Arabidopsis thaliana: one gene and its partner. The protein of the gene in region 2 purifies or fractionates together with the protein of the main gene of each other region. This does not show direct contact. Each region holds a gene or a part of one and is shown on either strand. Other genes may lie near its edges.

Region 1 (3,337 bases), on a different chromosome or scaffold from region 2:
AGCACCTCGCCGTTTCGGTACGACTCTTGCAAGAAATACTTGGCAGAGTCGGATTACGACGAACTGTGGGTGGTCCTAAAGAAGCTGGAGCTTAACGACGATTGTGATTTCGAAACCTCTTTCGAGATTTACGAATTCAATCGCGAGACTAACGAATGGACAAAGGTGATGAGCTTGAGAGGAAAAGCTTTGTTCTTGAGCCCTCAAGGTAGATGTATAGCTGTTTTAGCAGGTGAGAGAGGATTTTTCAAAGACAACTCAGTTTATTTCATTGATGGTGATGATCCAAGTGTAGGAGGATCAGGGCCTCAGAATCTGAGCGTTTTTGAATGGGAGAGTAAGCAAATCATGAAAATTTACCAGCCAAGATCTTGGAATTGTCAGATGTTTTGGGTCACACCAACAGACGTTCCTCAGTGATGAATGACTGATGCATTGTAGAATTTGTAGTTTGCATAGTATAGGTTTTGTATTTCAAATTTCAATTCTTTGATACATTACAATTGTCATCATACATTTTGGTTCTTCATCTGTAACATATATATTAAGTTATGATTATTTCAGCATCTATCTTTCTCTCACTACTTTCATTAATCAAATTGAAAGGTAACTTTTTTGAGAATCAACTTTCACATTCTCAATCTTGAAACATTGGCCACAAAAAAAAAAAAAAACCGATAGATTTGAGATTGACAGAATGAGAGCAAAACATACACAAGTATCCAGTGTATACAAAAAACATAAAGAGGCACCAAACACACTGATACCAACATTTCTTATCAAGCGTCTAGGACTAGTTTACTTCCTGGACACCTTTAGAGAGAACTTAAACATAAGCCGCCTACAATATCCAAGCGGATCTTATCGAACTGACGGTAGAAGAGCTTACCATCTTATGAAAGTACTCTCAAGACATGTTGGATGAATCTGTTGCAGGACTCGAATGACTGACAACGAGAGGCGGGCGCAAAGCTTTGTGGTTGGCTTCTGCTTCTTTACGAGCATTGTACATTTCTTCTGTTTCAACAACAACCATCCTTTTAACCTACATAGAGGCAAAACCAACCATCACAATTTTGAAATCTAGGATTTTATGACAAATGAGAATAGATAAAAAGATAAAGGAAGAGAACCTGATCAATCATTCCCCTAATGGATGAATTGTTTGAATGCAAAACAGTACGATGACATCTACGAAGTCCCATAGCTTCAAGTGTTCGTCTGTGAAGCTTCCTTGTTCCAGGGAGACCTCTTACTAAGGTTATGTACAAGCTCTGGCTCCATTCAATAGGCACTTGTGCTTTGAAAGCTCTAAAACCACTCATTCTTTTTTTTTTTTGTCTCCTTTATCACTCAATCTCTCTGTAACCATTAACAAAATCATAATCAAGCAATCACACAGAATTCACCGTAGAAATCAATAGATACAATAAACGAAGACGATTGATAACATGAATCATGAGAGAGTGAATCATCACGAATTGAAACCAAATCAGATCGATCAATTCAGAAGAAAAGAGGAGCTGCATAACGCGAGATTTCAATTAGGTGTTTGAGATAGAAATGGATGGTTTTCGAGTACCTTGAGGAAACAGAGACGGGAGAAGTCCGGTGAAAGAGATCGTCGACGAGTGTAGTCAAGACGGCGAACAGAGCTCGGAAAATCTTTGAGATTCGCGTTTAAGGGTTTTAAGCTTTTAGCGGAACAATGGTTAAACGACAGCGTTTTGTAGATTAGCTTAATTATTTGGGCTTTATCTGGGCCCAATTATTGGCTCCTTTACCTTTTTATAATTTGTTCAAAAATTACTAGATTGGTTTCATTTTTTTTACATCAATCTTTAGATTTATTAATCTTGCAAAAACAATTTATTTCAGAAAGTGTATGATGAACAGTCAAATTCCACTGCTCTCATCACTAGTTCTAACCTCTAAATTGGTAAAAGCTATTTGCTAGGTAGGTGTATTATTTAAGGTTTTTCTACCTTCTATAAGTTCAATAGCTTTAAATCTTGGGGTTGATCAATATTATTACTAATGAGTAATGATGCATTATTAAAAAGAGAAAATTATCAAAGTAAATTATATTTATACAAAAGTAGTAGCTAAATTACATAACTAAAAGAAATCGGTAAACTTACAAATATTGGTAGACAAGAAAAAGAGAGAAAAAGGGCAACCGTTCTTCTATCCATTACTCGATTTATTATACAAAGTACATGAAGCCTATAATATTACATACATGATACATGATGCATATTATTACATACTACTACTTTACAAGTGATATCTAACAAATGCACATACGTTATATTCCTTTAGCCGTGTTGATAGGCAAACCATCATCATCATCCTCAGGTCTCTTCTTATAATTATAGTCTTTCTTATCTAAAAACGCCTCTTTCACCTTCTCCACATCCGCCTCAGAATCACCGGAGACGTTTACCGCCACCGCAGCTCCGTCAAAAGCCTTCTCAACTGTTTGGCTAGCAACACCTTGTCTTGTGAACTCCTCCGCCGTCGAAGAAGCTCTTCCTTCTTCCCTCCCTCCACTCGCACTTCCTCTCTACATATTAAGAAAACATCTCCAAAAATCTTTGTATATATATATAGTTAATCTATTTCATGAAAACGTAGGAATATCAGAATATATACCTTGAGATAAAAAGAGTAAATACATGATGTTGTTATATTAGGCTTGGAGATTGATTTTGGGTTCACATAATTTCTCAACATTTTTTCTTCGGAGGTCTCTTATTTTTGCAGCTTAGATTAGATCAAGTACCATAGATGAATTTTCCTATAGCAGTTAATTGAGACTTTTGATGTCTCATCAACGGAGGTTATGATTATGATGCCACGTGTGTGTGATGCGCCGTCGTAGCCAAAAGATGACATGTTTCCCAGGGTTAGTCACGACGTCATGCAATTTCCTTTGTAGTTAAATCCAATATACGAAGATTTCTATTTCATATTCTACAGTTTCATACATAACTTTACATGATCGATTTGACAAAATCGATGTCCTAATGACATTAACTATAAGTCGAACCGCTGTCGTTTTTCTTGTGGATTTTATTGTGTACATGTATTGAATTCTTATAAACATTTTGATGAGAGAGATTGGGGGTTGGATCAGGATGAGATTATATCAATTATCATTATATAAATATATGTTTTTAATAATATCTTATGATCGAGAGTACATATAGAATAAGAGATCAATCAATTGATGACCGGACTGGAGATGGGAGAATTAGAATAATTGTTGCAGCAACAAAATATTTTAACAGCCCCGTGAATTTTAGCGCTTTCACAATACCCTCCGCCTCTCATC
Region 2 (3,696 bases):
TTTCAAGAACCAAAACTAAGAAAGATTCAATCTTTGATCTATAAAGAAGAAATCACATCATGGATCTCTCAAATTTCTTCCATTTGGTTTTTACAGGTTTGCCATGAATACGTTGCTGAGCAAGGAATAGAACTCTATGAGCTGGTAAAAGAGTAAACAATCACTTGCAATAAGAGTCACATCTACATCATTACATCATCTGATAGTGTTTGTCTCTTTCAGGTGGCTCATTTGCCAGACAAGGCGAACAACTATCTGACTCCGGCTTTATCTGTACTTGAGAAGAACACATGAGAAGAAGAATCATTGATTCCATTTTGTATATTGTACACATCTCAAGCTCTGATACGCATTACATGCATATATACATACGTACATGTATAACTTGTACATACAAGAATCTCTTTGGTCTCTTTATGTCCATTACCATTTATTTCTTATATTCAACTTAAAATTTGTGTGCTAATACAAACAATCCAAGGCCACCAACATAATAAAAAGGGTGTGAAACCCAGTTTTCTATTACACAAAACTCATAATATTTTGAATGATAAACATAAAAAGTATCTTCATTCATTATAAGTAAACATTGAAACTTCAGAAGATCTCAGACTTTGTCTTATTTATCTCAGATAGTCATGAAGGCGTACGACACAAACCCATCAAAGCTTGGAGAAAGGTTTGGCGAGAGAGCTGAAAAACGAAGATGTCGGAGAAACAAACGGCAACTTTCCGGAGCTTTCTTTTGACTTGCTCTCATCTTCTTCCTCTCCGTCAATGGCTTCTTTCTCAGCATCGTCCACTATCTGCTCCGTCAAAAGTAAATTCACAAGTCAGCCAAAAAAGAGTCCAAATTAGTTTACCCGGTGGACCAATTGTTTTTAAAACTAAACCTTTTCGGTGACGGCAGGAGAAACAGACGGAACAATAACAGCGAGCTGAGTTTTAATCCGGTGCAACGCGTCTTTCGTCATACCCTGCGCCGCTCCGGCGAAATCCTTAATGGCTCCTTCCAAAAACTGTTTAGCGTTTTCAAGCGACTCAGATGGAACCGAAGCAGCCGATAGTTTTTCTAACACTTTATCCTTAACCGCCGCAAGATTCTTCAGCCCCAACATGATCGTCTTCCTCTGCTTCTCTCCTTCTTCTTCCTCTGATGAGGAATCCACGGAATCAGGGTTCGTTGCGATTTTGATCGCGTGGTCAGGAGAGTAGAGGTTCCCTTGGCCCACGTTTTCGTCGGATTCTGGAGAGATTTTGATCGCGTGGTTTGGAGAATATAGCTTCCCCTGGCCCACATCGTCCGACACTGCTTCGCCGTTGTATTTTGTGGCGGATATTCGGTGATGATTTTCCATTACTACTACAAGATTTTGACAGTTGAAAACTTGAAATTCTTTCTTTTTTTGGTTTTTTCTGTGTGATGGGTCGAGAAGAACAGAGCAAAGCCACTTAAATTCTGTTTCCGGAAAAGTAATAATGGTTCTGTTTTTGTTTGTTTCCCGGGAAAATGAAGCAGAGTTGGAAAGCTTGTGACACGTGGTAATGACATGGCAACACGTGTCCTCTGTCGGGAGTTACTGGATGGGATAGTGGGCTTTGTTTAGTTTGTGATGTTATATAATAAAGGCCCAGTAGATGGAGAATTGGTTTTAATAATTGTGTGACCGGATTTGTCTACGACCCGACCCGATCGACCCGGAATTGAAACAGAAGGGGGATACACAGAGGCGGCGTTAGAAGAAGGAAATGGAGTTACAGTATTAGTGAGAGAAGGACGAAGAATAGATAGAGGAGGAAGAAGAATAAAGAGAAAAGATGAACAAGAAGGAGATCTTCAAGCTAGCGAAGGGTTTCAGAGGAAGAGCTAAGAATTGTATAAGAATTGCGAGGGAAAGAGTCGAGAAAGCTCTGCAGTACTCTTACAGAGATAGGCGCAACAAGAAACGTGAGATGAGAGGTCTCTGGATCGAGCGCATCAACGCCGGTTCTCGTCAGCACGGTGTACGTTTTCCCCCCAATATTGATTAGATTTTTGCCTATTTGCTTCCCGTCACTGCTAATTGCATTGATTCGATAAATCATGATTAGTTTATAAATAAAACTTCTGAGATATTGGTTGGTTTATTTTTGCAATCTATGATGAGTTTCTTTTAGGATGGAGCTTGGGATTTAGGGTTTTCTTTTGTTAAATTTGGGTGCTTGATTTCTCCAGAGTCTGTGGTTGCTAGTATAACAAGTTCTAGTTTGATGTTTCAAACAGAACTTGATGGATTACATTATAGTCTTAACTTTTTTGCTGTATTCTAGAGATTTTTCTTATGCAGTGGCACTCTATGTTTGCATCTACCTAGTGATAGAGTTAAAACTTGTTGGTTATAACTAGAAGCGAAAGAATTAGATTGAATAGTTGAATTAAAGTGCATTTTAGATTAGCTTATTTTCTTCAGATTTTACTGTTGTATCTTTGATCAATTTGGAGCTTTCCAATATCTGAGTTTGAGATATTTATCCAATGGAGATTTTGGATGTGAATGTTTAATTTGAAACTCAAATATGCTTAAAGAAGTGAATCATTTCGGATTGATTAGAGGAAAAACACATTTCATGTCAATAGTTTTGATCTAACTGAAACAATGATTACTTCCTAATTCAAGTAGAGAAACATATTTTTCTAACTCGGTTACCTCGTTTTAGCTTTGTAACAAGCTAAATATATGCTATTATAATACTCTGTTTCTTTTGAATAAGATGGAAATGACATGTTTGATTGGAATCCTAACATCTAAAACTTGAAACAGGTGAACTACGGGAACTTCATCCATGGACTGATGAAGGAGAACATCCAGCTGAACCGCAAAGTCCTCTCTGAGTTATCTATGCATGAACCTTACAGTTTCAAAGCACTTGTGGATGTCTCCCGCAAGTCGTTCCCTGGAAACAAGAACGTGGTCCAAGCATCTCGGAAAGTAGACATTTCATCCATCAATGCCTAGTTAGGACCAAGTTAGTTTAATCTTGTCCTTCTTATGAACACGGAATATTTAGTTATTTGTCAGAATAACATGTACCCCGGTGATATTACTATACTTTTGCAATTTGAGAGAATGTATTTCGTCTTCTTTATTTCGTTGAGCAGATCTAAATCCATTTATTTGTTTATTAGTTTGAGAAAATAAGATTGAATCACCTAAATAATCATAGATCTAAACCCTAGGATCGGAACAGTATTTGCTTTAATCACATCATTGTGAATCAATGCCTTGCTACGGAAGAAACAAATATCGGAACCGTGAATCAAAAGGAACTATGCCGCATTTGCTACTAGATGAACCCAGAAAACCCCACCATTGTCGCCTGTGAATACACTGCTCAACAAATGCAGCTTGGCGAGGAGGCAAATGACGAGAAATCCACAGAGCAACCTTGCAGTCATCGACAGATTTCTTGGCGAAACAGTGAAGCATTTGGGGCACAATCAACTTTCCCCTTGGGCTCACTCCCACTGACGCCTGGATATAATCTTTCTGAGCTTCTTCAAGTTCTTCTCCTACGTTCTCGGCTGAGTATATTCTCACCTGCAAGCAATTTCTGTGAGAAATTTGCAATATCGGTTCAAGAATCTGATGTAAAATGCAGATAGATATGGAAATATTACCGCAGGAGATGAGTGCATCCCGCAGCTGAGAGCAAATG

What was found. Proteins that work in one complex are often made in the same cells at the same time.
Region 1: the proteins of AT1G16740 (region 2) and AT5G55140 fractionate together in Arabidopsis thaliana (co-fractionation; one large-scale study listed by BioGRID). This does not show direct contact.

The regions. Positions count from the first base shown.
Region 1 is NC_003076.8:22,379,358-22,382,694, reverse strand, and holds AT5G55140 (ribosomal protein L30 family protein), read right to left. Parts: upstream 1,700-3,337; 5' UTR 1,583-1,699; intron 1,363-1,582; 5' UTR 1,326-1,362; coding exon 1,134-1,325; intron 1,046-1,133; coding exon 908-1,045; 3' UTR 501-907; downstream 1-500. Other genes in the region: AT5G55150 (F-box SKIP23-like protein (DUF295)), read left to right, coding at 1-420; AT5G55135 (uncharacterized protein), read right to left, coding at 2,309-2,566, 2,656-2,736; AT5G55132 (Defensin-like (DEFL) family protein), read right to left, coding at 3,226-3,337.
Region 2 is NC_003070.9:5,725,955-5,729,650, forward strand, and holds AT1G16740 (Ribosomal protein L20), read left to right. Parts: upstream 1-1,667; 5' UTR 1,668-1,818; coding exon 1,819-2,004; intron 2,005-2,801; coding exon 2,802-2,996; 3' UTR 2,997-3,161; downstream 3,162-3,696. Other genes in the region: HCF173 (high chlorophyll fluorescence phenotype 173), read left to right, coding at 97-144, 223-294; UP6 (uncharacterized protein), read right to left, coding at 663-806, 894-1,358; AT1G16750 (GPI-anchored adhesin-like protein, putative (Protein of unknown function, DUF547)), read right to left, coding at 3,267-3,578, 3,659-3,696.